Linked DNA regions of Daphnia pulex. The protein of the gene in region 2 purifies or fractionates together with the protein of the main gene of each other region. This does not show direct contact. Links are inferred from orthologs where the notes say so. Each region holds a gene or a part of one and is shown on either strand. Other genes may lie near its edges.

What was found.
Region 1: the proteins of protein AATF-like (region 2) and nucleolar protein 10-like purify together in Homo sapiens (affinity purification with mass spectrometry; 4 studies listed by BioGRID and IntAct, counting the BioPlex papers as one, with this or other methods). This does not show direct contact. The link is inferred for Daphnia pulex from reciprocal best matches to the Homo sapiens genes AATF and NOL10.

What each region holds. Positions count from the first base shown.
Region 1 is NC_060022.1:6,105,831-6,114,916, forward strand, and holds nucleolar protein 10-like, read right to left. Parts: upstream 4,560-9,086; 5' UTR 4,463-4,559; coding exon 4,397-4,462; intron 4,169-4,396; coding exon 3,771-4,168; intron 3,713-3,770; coding exon 3,500-3,712; intron 3,445-3,499; coding exon 3,213-3,444; intron 3,157-3,212; coding exon 2,892-3,156; intron 2,832-2,891; coding exon 2,671-2,831; intron 2,616-2,670; coding exon 2,422-2,615; intron 2,351-2,421; coding exon 2,260-2,350; intron 2,201-2,259; coding exon 2,123-2,200; intron 2,051-2,122; coding exon 1,839-2,050; intron 1,769-1,838; coding exon 1,669-1,768; intron 1,600-1,668; coding exon 1,474-1,599; 3' UTR 1,430-1,473; downstream 1-1,429. Other genes in the region: cytochrome c1, heme protein, mitochondrial-like, read left to right, coding at 1-62, 139-186, 252-400, 461-593, 655-948, 1,010-1,234; NADH dehydrogenase [ubiquinone] iron-sulfur protein 6, mitochondrial-like, read left to right, coding at 4,612-4,779, 4,899-5,147; inactive tyrosine-protein kinase transmembrane receptor ROR1-like, read left to right, coding at 8,323-8,386.
Region 2 is NC_060028.1:5,994,613-6,003,939, forward strand, and holds protein AATF-like, read left to right. Parts: upstream 1-4,340; 5' UTR 4,341-4,455; coding exon 4,456-4,546; intron 4,547-4,608; coding exon 4,609-5,420; intron 5,421-5,480; coding exon 5,481-5,548; intron 5,549-5,617; coding exon 5,618-6,014; intron 6,015-6,085; coding exon 6,086-6,237; intron 6,238-6,299; coding exon 6,300-6,501; 3' UTR 6,502-6,581; downstream 6,582-9,327. Other genes in the region: very-long-chain 3-oxoacyl-CoA reductase-B-like, read left to right, coding at 370-582, 664-810; sorting nexin lst-4-like, read right to left, coding at 1,671-1,718, 1,797-2,003, 2,057-2,252, 2,316-2,459, 2,532-2,766, 2,833-2,985, 3,064-3,424, 3,492-3,599 and 2 more. UniProt on the Homo sapiens protein: Part of the small subunit (SSU) processome, first precursor of the small eukaryotic ribosomal subunit.

The DNA.
Region 1 (9,086 bases), on a different chromosome or scaffold from region 2:
GAGTTGCTGGTAAATTCGTGAAATCTGGGCTTCTTAGAGTCCAAAACAATGCCGTTATCCAGGTTTGGAATGCTTTAAGCATACTATAATATTCATTTAATCCAACATAGGGAAATAACGTTCGAATCTTGGTTTTAGCAATCCCATCTGTCTACGTTGCGTGAGCTCTCGGCCGGCAAAAAAGCGGTAAGAAATAATACAAGGAAGTGTTTTAGGTTATCAAATCTCAGAATATTGCATAATTTTCTTAGGGATTAGCGGTAATTGGGTCTCTAATTGGTGGAGCAGCTGGTTTGGCATACACTTTAGACCAGTCGGTAAAGGCTTCAGGCCTGGAGTTACATGCTCCCAGTTTTCCATGGAGTCACAATGGGCTCTTTTCATCTCTGGATCATGCTAGGTATGCTTAATTTTAAAGTGATTTGTTGTTCTGAATGTACATAACTATTTTTGGAAATAGCATACGTCGTGGTTATGAAGTCTACAAACAAGTCTGCTCTGCATGCCACAGCATGAAGTATTTGGCTTATCGCAACTTGATTGGTGTCAGCCATACAGAGGATGAAGCCAAGGAGGAAGCTGCTGGCATTCAGGTCTGTATTAATGGTTTAACTGTCAATTTTCCAATGTAGTTCAAAGTAATATCCATTGTAGGTTACTGATGGGCCCAATGAAGATGGTAACATGTTCCAACGCCCTGGTAAGCTTTCTGATAGATTTCCGAGCCCATATGCTAACGAAGAAGCTGCCAGGAGCGCCAACAACGGTGCCCTTCCACCAGACCTAAGTTACATTACCGCTGCTCGTCACGGCGGAGAGGATTATTTATTCTCTCTGTTAACTGGCTATACCGATCCACCAGCTGGTATCACATTACGTGATGGTCTTTATTATAATCCTTATTTCCCTGGAGGCGCTATTGGTATGGCTCAAGCTCTTTACAATGAGGTACGATTTCTGTTCACTTTTTCAACAAAGCGATTCTAACAAGCATATCTTTGATCTTAAGGTGATTGAATACGCGGATGGTACGCCAGCTACTGCCAGTCAAATGGCTAAAGATGTGTCCACCTTCCTCAAGTGGTCAGCAGAGCCCGAACATGATGATCGCAAGAAGATGGCTTTGAAAGCTTTGATGCTATTCTCCTTCTTGATTTCAGTAGCTTACTACTGGAAACGCCACAAGTGGAGTGTTGTTAAGAGCAGAAAAATCATCTACAAGCCAAAAGAATAGGATGTGTCGATTACAGAAAAATTTTATGCAATGTAGAAGGGAGGATGACGGTGCAATCTTTGAGCTCTCCCTACCATCATCTACATTTATTGGTTTAGACACCCAAAAACCGATTGATATAGCGATTGTACATTCGAGTCAAAACATCTTCGACTCAACTGTAGGAATAATAATAAAGATAAGGTTTAAACACCGTAAACACGAAATGTCTTGTTTATTTCACTTAATCAACAAATAAATCAAAATCTTCCGCGACCACCCCGCCCACGACCCCGTGTTCTCAAGTGATTGGCAGATCGAATAATTTTACGTCGCTCTTCATGATGTTGTTCGGCTTGTTCTCTAGCTTTTGTGACGCGTTCACTCTAAATGGTCAAATTTTAATTAATCCGTAATTTGAAAAAAAAAAAAAAAAACTAAATTATGATGAATACCTGTGGGAGCGTGAAAGTCATTTCTCTAGAACCAGCTGATGGAGCAAGCTTAACTTTGTCTACATCTTCTTCTAAATGAATTCGCTCACCAAGCGAAGCCCTGAGTCAAATTGAAATAGCATACAACATTAAAATGTAAACACAACAAAATCGAAGATAATTATTGATACTTGGCCAATTTCTTCTTAGGTTGATCAGTGGTTGAACGGAACCCTTGGAATTTTTGCCCAGGTTTTAATGCCATGAACTTAGGACCTTCCAGCTTCTCTTGTTGTCTTTCCAATTTTCTCTGTTGAAACTTCTCTTCTCTTATAATCTTATGCTGTAACTTGATTTCATTTCGAAGACTTGCGTCGTCAGAATCACTGCTGCTGTCATCGGTCTGTTGGGGAAAAATTGTATACAGTATAAGAAACGTTTACCATTAACATGCGGTATGAAGTATTTGTATTACCGAAATTGTCCGTTTGCGACCCTTTCTTTCACTATCTGAAAATTCATCATCATTAAGTGGATTTTCCGTGCTCGTTCCCTGCAATGAATTAATTACTTTATTGTGTCATTTTGTAAGGAGCTATTTTTTATTCCTACCTCGACGGGCTCGAACTGGTCTTCGATGAGAGCCTTTTTGATACGTTTTTCTCGGATTTTGTCCAAACGTGAAACTGCAGGATTTAGTAATCTGTTGACGGAATAGGAACGCATTGTTTACACTACCAAGTCGTTTTGTTCTACATCACAAATAAATATTACCTGAATTCTTCAGAAGATTTGTCTATCTGGAAGTTCGGGTTTACGAAAAGATCTTTGAAACGCGAATCATTTAGAATGTTGGAGCTCATAAGTAATTTTGCACCACTCTTCTTTCCAACTGCTTCAGCATCATCAACCGCCTTACTATCCTCCATAAGCTTAAGTGCAAGCTCACGGTTAATCGCAGGAAGTTTCTAAAAAACAAACAATTATTGTTTTTGATCCAAATTTGAATTTTAGGTGTATTACCTGCAATTGAACTCTGCTGGACCGCTGTTGGTCAATTGTTTCCTTTACTTTATTCTGTTTGTAGCGGGTAAGTGATAAAGGTTCAACAATGGATTTGGCTTTCCTATATAGTCGCATGTCGATAAAATAACCGTGCATGTAGGCACGCAATAGATTGGTCCCTATAAAGGAAAAGGCGTGTTAAAAAGAAGAATAGAATTCTAATAAAATTTGGAAAATACCAATAAGGTGACCGAATCCGAGGTCATGTAGTTCATCTACTGTCAAGAATTTGTAATCGTCATAGACGGCAGCAGTTTCTCCCTCCTCTAATTCTTCTGTCAACGAGTCAAGGAAACTACACCAACGAGGAGCCGGTCCAAGATTAGGTATGTAATAAGTGAGCATTTTTTTGTCTTCCGTAGCCATGAACATCATACCACTTGAAGGTACCAAACATAAATCGTTCAAATCTGATGTTGCTTCAACAGAAACGTAAGGTTCACCCTATTGACATTAAAAGTATTATAGCATTTTGATTATTATTTTTTAATTTTATTTACCGTATTTCTATCCCACAATCGAACGATTCTGGAATCCATTGACGCTACCAAATCATGATTCAGGTGATGAAAATCTACTGTTTTTATTGGAAGTCCATATCGGTGGTCTTTCACTTTAGTCGGACGATTGGATCGCAAATCATAAAGTAAGATCTGGCCTGTTGAAGTTCCAACTCCCAATGTCAGTGCATCACGGAACTTGACAGCCGTGACTTGAGGGACACCGGTAACTCTATAATTAAAAACATGGTAAAATGTGATCTAAAAACGTTAAAAAAACCATTTACTGAGTGTCAGGTGTCACAGAGTGTAAAGCACAATCGAGAACTCCCACTCTATTCCTTGCACGAGGATCCCATGCCTCTATTTTTCCTTCTTTGGAACCACAGACGAACAGCTGATGAAAGGGATTCATATCACAAACGTTAAGAGTGGTTGCTTCTGTTTGAAATGAATTAAGAAACCTCCCTTCTTCTAAATTTAAGCGATACACGTCTGGCCTAAAGAAGATTTACAGTTAACTAGAGCAACTAAGAGTACTCTAATCTTATTGCATACCCGGTACCAACTATGTAAAGGTTGCATGACTGAAAATGATACTTCAAATCTCTTCCAAATTTCGGTATTCTTGTTCTATAGTATCGGCCATACTGAGCGTGAAATTCGACAAATCGATCACACTGCAAGAAAACTACTTTGCTGTAATCCTCTGACAACATTTCAAATTTGATGACTTCTGCATCCATACACCGTTCAAATTTCATGGACAGATTAGCTACTTCATAGCACCGAACTCTTGGTTTGTAGATGCCTGTAGCCATAATATATTTCCCATCCTTTGAAACTTTGATTGAGGTGCTAACCCCAGGCATGTCAAAATCTTGAATGAGCTCCACTCGCCTTCTGATGTCCAAGTCTTTACTTTGCAAGGCTCTCTTTTTTCTGTCTGACAACCACTGCAAAAACAAAAAGAAAATGAGATTTTTTATACAAGACATTAGCCTATCTAAACATCAGAAAATTTTTTAAATAAATTTATGATATTATATTAATCTAGTGATTGTTACAAGCATGGCAATTAACATGCTAACTAACTGTCAGGGAAAACTATAGAAACCACAGAAGCTATGTATACTCATTAATAGCTATTTGAAAGGGAAATTAACACAAAAAGACACGCTTACCTCTGGCAAGGATTTCCCAGCACTCAAATTATAAATTTTCACATTGTTAGAGCTTTGAATCAACATTCTGGTAATTCTTTTGAGAACCTGTCGAAAAACGATTTCACAATCTCACACAACACACGTGCACAATAACTTTAAAATTCGTCTGCTGTTGAGCAGATAGCCGATTAGCCGAAGCTGCTTCAGCTCACGTCTTCTCTTATTACCACTAGATGTCTATCCGTTCGACAATTGCAATGGCGACCTCAAAATTTCGTCTTGTCCAAATCCTTGGAAAACAATTGAAACAAACTCCAATTCGACATGAAATTCCTTTTTCAACTGCTCCAAAAGTATTGAAAGAGGCTGCGGCAGCTGATCTTCCAACTCATACTGGACAGGTAATTATTAGATTTACATGTTTGCTGTTACATATCACAATACTTGGTTGAGAAATTTTTACACATTCGAAAGTCCATGGAAAATCCGAATTTATTTATTTCAACTTTATGTTCTTTAGAAATGGGATGAATCTGATTTTCGTTTAGCTCGATTTGAAAACGCATCGAAGCAAGTCAACACCCGTTTTGCGATTGACCTAATTGCCCAGGTTCCACCAAAAGAAACCAAGTCCCGAATTGTGTCTTGTAATGGAGGAGGTGGCCCACTAGGACATCCACAAGTTTACATCAATTTGGATAAACCCGGTAACCATACTTGTGGCTACTGTGGGCTTCGTTTTGTGAAACCTGATGATCATCATCATTGAAGTTGAAAAAGGACTGTAGAGTCAAAATGTTAATAAATACAAAATAGAAGTTACTTGATAATCCTAATTTAAGTGCGCGAATGTGTGTATCGACAAGATTTCTGCATGGAACGTGTTCCATTTCTGGCAGAAAAAAGGGAAATTTTTTTTAAATAAACATTTAATATTAGAATTTCGAATTGAAAATGAGATTTTTTATTTTTGACCCTTTTCCCCCTTTTCCCCCTTTCCCCCGTTATAGATAACTCTCCCAGGTGTTGTCGCGAATTCTATTTTGTTTTATTTTGTAGGAAGGGTAAATATCACCTACTAGAAGAAAGGAATTTCCCACCTCCGTCCGGCTGTGGCCCGTGACGTTTAAGCCCGGGACATGTCACGGGACGAGGGGAAAAACCCCAAACAGTCATCCCTCTAAGAATTTTTTTTCTTTGGGGCGGTTATAGGGATGGATCGACGGTTCGCGGGATATTCCGAGATATTGTGCCATCTAGTAGTGACTAAAAGAAACTTCCAACGCTAGATTGCTGATAAATTACCGTAAAGAAAATTATTCTTTTTTCAATCCATAAAGGGATCAAAATTTTCCTTCCAAATTTCCAATGATTTAGTCTCACACAGTCGCACGCCATTCACTCTCGTCAGTAAATAGAGAAATTCGCTATTGTTTCCCGTTGAGCGTTGACCAACAGAACCAATTTGGGATGGTCAATGTTGATGGTCTATATTTACAACAAACGCAATTGACATCAATGAAAATGCATGCACATATTTTATATAAAGAGTGCATTGTGTAAAGCCCTAACGTACAACTATATTGATATTATTTTAACAAGAAAATAAAGAGGGCAGTCGGTGTTGTGCAAACATTGTGCGGCGATCCTCCTTGTATATCGGTACCTTGTATGTTTACTCAGGCGCAATGTCACGCTCTGTCAACATTTTCCTCGCTTTCCGTTTCTTCGTGATGTTTCCATTGAGCCTTAGGCATAGAAGGAAGATGGGTTGGTGCGTTTATATTGTGATTGCTTGGTCGTCTGACGCTAATAACTTGATTATATAAGTTTACTATTAATGCGCAGTGACTACTTCGTTCCGTCATTAGCATCTCAGTGACACAGCGCGACTTGGAATTTATTTGTCATTTGAATAAATAATTTGAACATATACGGCTGCATCAATGCTGTGAAATAAATAAAGAGCTTTTTTTATTTAATTTCTTTTCTACATTCTATATAGTGTGTTGAAGAAAACTGAGCGGCGAGGGAACCAAATGATGGGTCTCTGCGGTGAAAAGGGTTATCTATCGCTCGTGGCTCATTTGAATAATTATGGAGCGGTGGTCAGCCATCCGTATCAGTTCCCTCTCTGAATGGTACCGTTTTTCTAACTTTTTTTCTCCTTTTCATTGGTTGGTTTCCCTACGTCTTTGCCAACGGAATAAATATGTTCACGACTTCAAATCAAACAGAATAAATGGTATCCGAAAGTAGAATGACTTGTTTTAATGTTGTTGTTACAACAAGCATTTGTTACGTTGCATTAGATTCGCTCGTTAGATTAGATCTTAATAAAGTCAGAAACGGTCTCAAATATCCAGGATGAGAAACCATCCTGTTTACACTAAACTCGGACTCAAGACTCGGACTAAAATGGCTGTTGTTTTCATTAGCTGCAGGTAATTCCTATATCTTTTTTGGGTCCCTTTAGCAAAAGTTCTGAACCGAAACGGCTTTTCAAATGCCCTCACTTGAAGACGGAAGTAAATGATTCATGTTAACTGCCGCTTGTGGCTCAGTGCAATCATCTAGCGCTTATTTTATCGTCGTTGCTATGTTTACCGTGCTGACTGCTCGACAGGTGGAATGAAAATTCCTTAATAAAACTGTCTTTCTAGGAACGAAATATGTACGTTTGACGCGCGAACTTGAACAGGAAAGTCAAGTTCGAAACTTGATGTCGTGAGATTCGTTGTATTATTTATGACACTATCGTAAAGTTGGGAAGTTGATTATTTTTCTCGGAAGGGAACGTATCTCCGATTCAAAGCCATTCGAACGGCAATGCGAGATGTGATGATAGGCCATTGATCGCTTAGTTTGACAACTGCCGCTATAGTTCAAAATGCCAAAGAATATACCGAGTATCATATTCCACTTTTATTTTTCTTTAACGCTACTTGGTGATCGCTCATGAGTGACATTAAGAATATACAAAAATAAATAACAAGGCTGATTTCTCGCATTTCAATTTCATTAGAGGTCTTTAGAGGTCTTGACAAACTGTTTAAATTGATCGGGCACTATCAGCAGAAATTGAAAATGCCGTTGCTAATTCATTTATTGCCAAGGCTTTGATTTGAAAAAGCTTAGATGACAATACATTTTACAGCCCCTAATAGAATAGACAAAAAAAGGGCTGACTCATTCGTTCAGTTCACTGTGTGTGGTGGCTTCTATTTCGAACTGATGTGTGAAATCGGGTCTAATTATTAGTCCGCCAGATGGCAGCCGAAACATAATCCAACAGAGGGACGGACCCCTCGGTATGCGTTGAGTCAAGGAAAGATGAGAACCAATGGTTTCTGGCTATTTGCCGGCGCTGCTGGCGATTTTTCGTTTCTGTTTTCTTCAAAACAAGAGGAGAAATTAAACCGCTGCGATTTGTGATTGACGCCAAATGCACACAGTCAAGGCGAACGTGTTTTTCCAGCCGTCCGAAAACAACACGCTCTCTCTCTCTCTCGCCGTTACCTACCTAGGCAGACTCGACTCGTTGTTGGGGTTGTTGGAAGGCAAACGGATGGAAACACCCGCTGGCTGGCACTGCAGTCAGTTGTGTGCCGACCGGATCAGACGACGGATCTCGTTCTATTCGACTCCCGTTTCCGCACGCGCGCGCGCGCCATTCCAACCGGAATCTAGTGTGACACGTGCTCATCTTTGATGCGTTTCAGCCCAACTCTATTGTTGACCGAAAAGTGGAAACGTATTGATTCAGTGTGTTCTGTTGTGGCCCCCTAATTACCTTTGCTTTGCTACTCAAATCTCTGAGGCATAGATTATTATTGGCAATTATTTGGCCAACACGTCTTATATATATACCGAGTGTGTGTTTTCGTGAATAGGAATCATTTGTTTATTGTAAAGAGAAATCCGAAATTTTAATAGTGGCAAAGATGGAGCATCGTGGCTCTTTCATTACCGGATACACAGCTGTTGTCGTCCTTCTCTTCGCGTCAGGTAGGACACAACATCATTCATCATTTTCTCTATATAATTTCTGTGTTATTCAACTCTTCACGGGTTATATGCTAATGACCCCCGAGGTACTCGTCGACTTCCAACTGCACATCAATCGAGTTGGGATTCGAATATTTGAAAACCCCCCAGACGAATCTTTTGTGTGTTTCTCTCTTATTGTTTTTCCTCGTCGTAAGACCAACAAGCCTAACGTGCAATTGGCTTACTGATTGATTTATCGTCGTTTGTTTTCAGTTTGTTTAGTACAAACTGAAACTGTTTTTTTGTTTTCTTTAACAACCCATCAACCGGGGGAGACTTACTTTTGACGCCCTTTTTGTCTACCTCCATAAAGTGGAGCGAAAAGACCAACGACATTGCAAAAGCTTTTTGTTTCTTTTATTGCCATCGTCTCTGCTGTTGACAAGTCAAATTCCACGCTGCACTACTTTGAAATTGGATTGCGCATGTGTTACTTTGACACGCGAGTACATTCTTTGATGAGGCCAAATACTAAAGTATAGACGACAGTAACACGGTATGTCAGGTGAATGCAAATCCCCCCCCCCCCCGCTTCTGTAGTACCAAAAAAGAAAAAAAAAAGGAAGGTAAAACATTTCGGATGTATTACAACCTGGGAAAGAGGAAAACAACGAAAGGTGAAAAGGTGAAATTCAAGCGATGTAGGTGGATTTAGAAG
Region 2 (9,327 bases):
ATGAAAATCTAAAACAGTTCTGCATTTTTCCTGGTCATCATTTGCGAGACTATGTTTAGTTCTTTACAAAGATGTGACTCAGGACCTTGAAAATGGGATATTTTATTGTTTATTAGAAAAAATTTATTTTCCAGTCACTTATCATGTTTTAACTGCTGGAAGTATACACGCAGCAACTGGTAGGATTTTGCGAAAAACCTTGAAAATTATAGGCGTGTTTGGACAAAATAGCTTCAGGCACCGAATGAAGACTGAAATCATCAACGAAAAAAAAAATGTTGTGGGTTGCTTTTGTAACCAATTACGTCACGCAGTCTTAATTCGATGCCCGGCGGGTCTTTCATACTGGCGGTTTTGTTGGATTTTCAGGCATTCGTCGAGAAATTCAGTCGTGATCTGTCACTGGAAACTCAACATTTTGGTGTGACGGTGCAATGCGTGCTGCCCAGCTTTGTGGCCACAAACATGAGCAAATTCAAGTCCAGTCTGACCGTACCCAGTCCTACCCAGTTTGTCCGGGGTCACATGAACACACTTGGGCTTGAAGTATCTTCTCCCGGTTACTGGGTTCACAAGATTCAGGTATAACGTGTTTTTTCTTATCAGCTTTGATTTATTTTTATTGTGTATATCTAATCTTTTACTGGTTGGGAATTATTTTAGATCGGCTTTTACAACGTGGCACTGAGTTTCGTGCGACCGGTCGTTGAACGCGTCGCCTGGTACGGTCTCTTTTCCATCCGCACACGGGCTGTTAGGCGCCAGCAGCGACTCAAGATGGCGGAAGTCAAACCCCGAAAAGACGCTTAACGGGACTAATGTTGTTGGAGTCCAGCCGATCCAATAGATTTTCATTCCACACTTCATCGAATCCATCAAAAGGCAGTAGTAGCCTTAAGGCTCTTCACGCTTTCTTCTGCTCATTGTTGTGTAAATGACTATGACTGTATCAATTCTAGGCTCACATAATTGTTCTTCTTTTTCACCGGCTAATCATTAATAAAAATTCATACACAATATTCTGTCAGGTTATGATATTATCGATACAAATTTTATGTATTCCGTACCATTTGAAAAGTAAGGCTGGCTAAGCGCACCATCGATGGAGATGACAAACTTGAATGACAATTGAATAGGAAAATGTAAATGACATAGAAGCTCACTGTTATGGTTCTTGTGCTTCTCAACTTATTAACAGCACATAAACTTTTAAGACTCGCGAGCAATGTGCACGTTAAACCATTTTTCTCATCTACACAACTCTACCGTTTCTCTCTGAATAACGACAACTCTCGTGTAACGAAAACTCGGCAGTGAGCTGCACACAGAAACACAGTCTGACTATGACACTGTTTGCACTTGATAGCCTTCGTTCTTGCCAATTTGGAAGAATGGCTTCGTAAATCGGTTGCCCGCTCATGAAGATAGACAACGTAGCTACGTAGAAGAAAAAGCGAAACAACAAAGTAAGCAAAAAGAATTTTAACATGCGACTATTTTCAAACCATCTGAGGGAATGTTTCCCGTAAGAAAGAAAACAAAAGATAAAATCCGTGGCGGCCAGGATTCCAAAGTAATTAGGAGAAACTTCGTTCATTCGCATGAAGGAATGGAATTAAAAAAAAATAATGCGACTTTTAAAATCCGAGTACTGCGGTTGTTGTTTTTTCTTAGACATCCTTGTACTGGGATAAGGTGGACTGCAGATGATCGACAATCTAAATGAAATACATTTCAAACATCTGGTATTAGTAGAGAAGTTGCAAAAAGAAAAAAAAGGAAAAATAAATAATAACCTTTTGATAGTAAGTGATCTGTTCCTGTAGGAAGATTTTTGCGGCTGCATTAAAATCGTGAACACGTTGTTGATGGAAATAGGACATTTCAGCCAGTAGCGTGTAGGAAACAACATCTGTTCGTTGTTGAGCACGAACTACAACGGTGCTTTCCGTTTTACCCTCAGATGCGGAGCGTTCCAACTCGCGCCGCTTTTGAAGGGCCCCCTATAAATTAAAAATTAGTATTGTTTTAAAAATTGCCGAAATTGCTGGGTTACCTTGTGGACGGTAATGATGTCGGGAAATGAGGCAAGTAGTCCACGATAATCGTGTAGTAAATCTCCCATCGGCTCGAAATCCAATCGTGGTTGGTCCTCACAAAGAAGAGCTATCTGATCATACGTGTCAGCAGTATGGGAAAGTGCTCTGGTCAGAGGAGCTGTCTCTAGCAATTCCATAGCCGTGCCAAGAGTTCTACAGAGACAAACAGTTGGTTAACAACAATACAAGGGCGGAGCACTTCTCTTTGAAACCTACCTGAATGATTGGCCAACACGTTGATAGTCGCGTTTATATGGACCTTGCTGCCGTTTTACTTGTTCGGCAAAGTTGCTTTGCATCATGCGGACAGCTGTATCAAACGACTGCACGAAACGCCCAAAAGCTTCGGTCTGAGAGTCACTATGATCAAGAAAAATGTAAAAGCGATCAAATAAACAGTTGAAAAAAAAAAAAACAACAACAAAAACTTACAGTTGTAGTGGGTCAAGCGACTTTTCTGGTACTTGTACAACACCAAAGATTGCGGCGCCAATTACTTCGTCTTTTTCAGCTTTCCGCTTGCCCGTTTTCCATCGTTTGGCATCTGTGCACGTTAAAAAGTGCAACCAGACATCGGAGCGTGAGAGAATTGGGTGGTCACACACACGGCTAACAAATGATTGCAACTGTAGACGTCTTCGCTCGATAAATTGTTCTTCATACCGACCTATTTTAAGTACACAAGTTCAGCAAATCGACTTCAACCAAAAATTCTACAAATATAAGAAATCACCAGAAATTTGCTTGTCTGGAAGGGGAGGAATGGGAATGATGCAAAATTTTTCCACAAGTCTTTCGTGAAGCCAATCGAAATGTTTGTATCGCCTAGAAACCTGGATATTGTTTAACGACGGTGTCAACTGGTAGGCAATGAAACTTTTTAGGCCTACGATGAAAACATAGAAACAAGTTGACACATTAAATTATATTTAAAAATTAGTCGACTAGGTTGTAAAAATATTACCTTTCAATTTTGATTCTTTCTTTGGTGAAGCCACTACACACGAGTAAGGTTGAGGATTCGGAGCCCATGTGATACCGTTGTTGGTTTCGATGATGTGGATTTGGTCACTATCAGTGGACGTCACTTTGTTTGCCCCCAGAATGTAAGCTTCTCCGCCAGTTTTAACGAAGTGAGAAAACCGGTTCAAATTTTTACGAACGGTTCCTTTACCGTCTCCCAATTTCAACCCTGCCATGTTGACATCAAGCGCACTACCAACGTCGCTATTGCTTCTCCCACCTGCAGCAGGGTTTCCCGGATTGCTACCTTGGTTGGCTTCAGAAACGTCATCATCCCAGTCGTCATCCCAATCATCGTCGTACTGGAAGTAGATTGAAAATACCTTATTAATACAGTTACCAGGAATCTCCACAATGTTTTTGGAATACCTGTGATTGTTGCTGTTGAATCGCTGGAGCTACATTTTCCTCTACGTATATCTGGGGCAATGGAGGAGGAGGCATAGCAGGAGGTGCATTGTAATTTTGTTCAATAGCCTGTTGAATTAATACAATAAAATGGTTTTTTGAGGTTTAAAATAATTCAATTTACATGTTATTAATACAGAAAAATCCAAATGATACAAAATTCTTTTCTGGTTTTACACTAGCATGCATGACATAACAGGAGTAGGAAGAAATTCATACCTCAACGTAGGCTGCAGGAAATATTCCACTAACTCCACGTTGATTACTACCTTCCCACCATCCTTCACCAACATCCTTACTAGTGACAGTTAGAACTTCACCAGTAACAATAGATAGTTCAGATGTGCCAGGCTGGCCTTCAAAATCATAAAGGACGCGCGCCTAGAAAAACGATTCATTTTGTAAATTAAACTGGTTTCGAAACCGGATATGGTTAATGAAATGGTAACAGCAGTTACAGGAGTGAGAAAATTTATAGTTCTAACTAGAAGACGAAACTGATAATTAGAAAAACCGGAATCAAAACTCAAAAGTTACCTGACCAGCCATCTCGAAGAATAAAAACTCAGCTTTTTACAATACCCCTGCTGCTGTGTGCTGTCAAACTGATTTCGTCTCGCCCCCTAATAACAGCTGAGAGGAATGAGTCAGTGATGAGCAGAGCTGAATCTGAAACCAAACGATAAGTTACAAAATCTGAGACCCGAGTGACATTTTAAGGCCCTAATGTTTCTTCTGTCTAGTAAGTAATGCCATCTACTGTAGAAAGATATTAACTGCATTGGTTTGAAAGAAAAACAAAAGAAGTACGATTGTTCGAATTCGTCTGCAACGTGTATTGGTAGTAAAACACGCGACACGCGGTATCAATTATTTTAGAATACTGAAACTTAAATGTATACATTGTGAAACATTTATTTATGAAATGTCGAAAGGCAAATCCCTAAGTGAAAGATTAGCCGAACTTGCCAATCCAACACCTCAGTTTGCTGATCCAGAAGATGAATATAACGAAGGTAACAAATTGAAACAAAATAACACCTACTTGTTTTTCTTAAAGTGTTTCTAATCTTTCTAGAAAGTAAAGCAAGGCTGGAGTCCTTTGATGACCAATATGAGTCGTATGATAACACTCAGGTGGTTAAGAATAAAGCACCAAAAAATAAATCTAATCTACGCCAAAAGAATGTGGAATTATTAGCTGTTTCAGATAGCCGATATGCTGGGAAGCGTGTCAGTCGCAAAGATCTAAATTCTCCTGTAGGAGAAGGCTACAAAAGTTCTGAGTCATCTTTAGAATCTGATAATGAAAGTGGGGAAGAAAATATTCTGGAATTTAAGAACAAATTCATGAAAGAAACAAACAACAAATCAGAGAAACCCAACATCTTCCAGGAATCAGAAGACGAAAGTGGTTCATTGAAATCTGATATTCATGAAGAAGATAGTAATGAAAGTGAATTGAATAAATCTGAAGATGACGAAGAAGCTGATTTTGAAGAAGGAGAGGGTGAAGAGGAGGGTGAAGAGGAGGGTGAAGAGGAGGGTGAAGAGGAGGGAGAAGAGGAGGAAGAAGAGGAAGGAGACATTGGAAGTGTAGATGACAGTGAAGGAGAAGAAAATGAAAAAGTTAAAAAAATGTCAAAAAATTCTCATGATAATGATATAAACAAGGGAAAATCTATCCAAAATCAACTCTCATTATGGGATCATCTTCTTGAGTGTCGTATAAAGATGCATAAAGGAATAAATTTATGTAATCAGTTACCTCAAGCTCCTTCAAATTACAAGCTTTTTACTAAAGCAAGTGGAGAAAACCATTTTGTTGCAGCAGGTCAAGGTGCTCAGGCAGCTATTAAATCATTATTGGACAACTGCCTTGAGCTAGAGGTAATTCCTGTTTTATTGTATTTTAAATTACTTAAAATAATAAAAAAATTAAAAATTCAGGAGCTTCTTCTTAAATCTAATCCACAAACAAAAGCATTAACGCAACGAAAGTCTAACGAAGAGGGCAGGTATTAAATGTTAATTTTTCAGTTTAAAAGGCATTAATTAAAATTTAAAAGTGTTTCCTTGTCAAATAGTGATGAAGAAATTCCAAGTGACACTGACGAAGAAGCTGGAGAAGACGACGAGGACATTGATGATGGAGGACCAAAGCGCAAAAAACAAAAAATAGTCGGATATGAATCCGAGATTGGAGAAAGACACGAAAAATTGCGCGGTTTTTGGCATCGTACACTGAACATGTGGAATGAAAAAACAAGATTAGCATCAGGGAGAACGGGGTCTGGAAGCAAAGCCGGATTTGGGGCTTTTGATCAATCTATCTTGAAACAAATTGAGGGTATCCTTAGCGACAAGCAACGGTTGATAAATCGTACACGGATAAAGAGATCTACCTATCGCATACTGGGATCTATTTCTAAACTCAGTCCCAAGGAAAATACAATTAATGGAAAAGGAGAGGAACACATACAAGTAATTTGATAGCTAACAATCGTTTTTTACCCCTTAATATGTTCAAGTAATTATTGAGTAATTCTCCTTAGGATGACCAACATTTACCCGAAACTAAAGAAGTCGATTATGAAGAATTCGATCCTGAAATTTATGATGACGATGATTTCTATCATCAATTACTTCGTGAGTTAATTGAAAAAAAAACTGGCGAAGCTGGCTCAAATCAAATTGCTCTTGGAAGGTTAGTAGCGTTTGGTGTTGTATCTAATACATGTTGTTTCTAAGTGTGAACTTTAAATGCAGGCAATGGTTAGAAATTCAAAAGTTGCGATCGAAAGCCAAACGAAAAGTCGATTCAAAGGCAAGCAAAGGACGAAGACTTCGATATCAGGTGCATCCTAAACTTGTTTCCTTCATGGCTCCGTATCCTGAGGCTTCATGGAATGACATTGCCAAAAATGAGCTGTTTGCCTCGTTGTTCGGGTCAGGGCCTACTGTTAAGTAATTGTGATGACTGTCTTTTATGTATGTTCTTTATATAAGACGTCTAAATAAACTTTCAGTCTCGTGTGTGCGAACAGCCTATTTTTCTACATTGTTTTTGTTAAAGTATTCTAATGTAGGCTTCAAGAAATTATGGCAAGCCGTTCGCGGCACTTTTCAGGGAACGCACAAACCTAAAAGTAATGCAATAATAGCTGTATAACGTACGAGCACTCGCATAAGCATAAACCTAAAACTAAAGCAAAAACCTTACCTAGTGTCTGATTTGGGACGTTTCATGTAGTCGATATTTGTTATAAGAAGGCAACAGGCAAGAGAGATTACCCGTGATCTAATACGCTAATATACTACATAAAATGCATTCTAAAGCATCTTCCATTACGGTCAATATCTTTTGTAATTATTTTGTAAATACAGTACAGTATCGTCCAAAAAAATCCGAACACCATGGTCTCTTTCTTTCTTTTTTTAAAATTCTTCGAGATTTTTTTCTTAATCCTAAAAAATGAACTTTGTAAAACAATTCATTCTACACATAATATGAAGTCTTGAAAGCTAAAAACAAAAAATATACACTAAACTGGGCTTTTGAAAAAGAGGTGCGTTCGGATTTTTTTGGACGATACTGTACCTACCTAAAGTTTGGGAACACGCGAGAGAACCTTGTGGAGAAAGGCGTTTTTTCTCGGCGTTCCCAAAAATCAAATTTTCGTCGGAACGAGACGAATTTTTTTTGGCCGTAGCCATTATGGAGAGCATTAAGCTATTTCTTTTTTAGATTTTTTCGATCAATGGAAGGGTAGATTTTAAATGAATCCCTAAGATTTGGAAAATGGGAACACCATGCATAGAGCTCCATGCAAATTAGGGTACTTTAAGGGGGGATAACAATAAAATGGGTTAAGCTAGGAAGACGCGGAAAACTATGAAATGAAGAACTTTACTAACTCAACAACAGACTTCATTTTCAGACTTTTCGCGTCATATATAGTCAATTGTAAATTTAAAATAAATTTTATTTTTTGGCCCGTTCTAGTCCCCTTCTCCCCTCCCTCCATTCCCACCCACGCCGAGTTGTCGCCCCCTCATAAGCGCGCGTTTTCTCTGTTTATCACAGAAATTTACTGAGCTTTAGTTAAAACAGGACCGGAATTGATAATATGTGATGAAAGTCATTGTATAAAAAACGACAAGACATCTTCTTCCGGTGGGCGAAAACGACACCTGCTACCTTCGACACTGGCTACCCGGGGGGTCAACACTGGCTACCCCGACACTGGCTACCCGAAACTGGCTACCCAGAAGGCCGACACTGACTACCCCGACACCGGCTACCTGACACTGGCTATCCCCAATTTGCTACCCCTGGAAAACGGTAGCTAAACAGAATACTCTCCTGGCCATGTGTATAGGGCTCTTTGGGATCTTCTCTTTGGGAGGAGAGAAAGGGGAGAAGAGGGAGAATGGGAGGACGCCCTCCTCCCTCCCATTCCTCCCATTCTCCCTCTTCTCCCCTTTCTCGCCCTACCAAAACGCCCAGCCATGCTGCGTTGCCAGATAAAACGGCTAAAGAAAACAGATCCCAAAGAGCCCTATTGTGGCCGGCTGATCATTGACTGTTGCAATGATTATTGCCGATTACCTTTAGCAAAACAATTCTATTTGAATACTGGTAAGTTCTTGAAAGAAAACCTTGCCAGGCAAGGAACTCCACACCCTTTTTTCTTGGCCAGGTCTATTTCCTTTTTTTATATTTTTTAAACCATTTCGGAATTTTTTATTTAAATAAATGTTAATTGATTTTACACATGATATAACTTTCGGAAATTGCAAAAAAATTACAGCATATTCCAAGACTTCAAAAGTCCCAAGTGGCAAGTTAACACAAAGATGAGACACTTGGACTGGGGTGACGTGGGATTGTTGTGAAAAACTTGGCTAAGATAGCGAATGATAATGACGCTTATGGTAGCGTTCTCACAATTCAATCTTAGAATGCAAACAAAATTAATAAGAGACCACTTTCTATTTTATAGAAAACTGCCTCTTACTTCTTACTGACTGATTTCAGAAAATAGAATGCGGTCTCTTACTTTCTTGAAATGCAAAAAAGTCTTCGATTCTGAGAGTGAGGGAAGTGTCTGAGAGAGATTGTGCAATTAAGAAAATTAATTTTATAAAATTTATGAATTGAGTGTTATTCAGATTCAAGTTGGTCAACACGCGTCTTCAGAGATATCTCGTTCGCGCCCACATAGAAAGTAGGGCCTGCTGAACGCCGGGGCCTGAACGTCCATGACCCGTTCGCGCTCGAAGGTTGGAATTTGTCGCCTTCATGGAGGAGAACAGAACATGATTTACGATCTCAAAAACAATACTGGATATGTTGACCATGGATGAAAGGGTAAAATCTTTCCTCTTGGAAAGAGTCCCAGCAGAGGTACAGTACTTAAAAAAAAAAAAAAAACTCGCGTCAGCTGTCCTGAATAATTTCTTGGTCTTGGCACCAGGTGGCCAAATCCTATCTCTCTTTATTTGCCGAAAAGAAGAAGCGGAATTCCCATATTTTACTGTTCTGCATTTTAGTGTCCAATGTTGTTCTCGTTGGCAGTTTGTGGTGTGTCGGCCGCTTCGAACGTCTTGTTTTCTTTTCTGTTTTCAGTGAAGTGTGAAGTTGGAGAAAACTGTGTTAAAGTTGCTGCCTTCACTAATTAACCTTGCTTCTTTCAGCACTGAAATTTTTTTTTTCAAGAAACCTGGTTTGAGTGAGTGAGTAGCTAAACGTCGTGTGTGTGCTTCTAGAACATATTTCATTGTAAACTTTCTA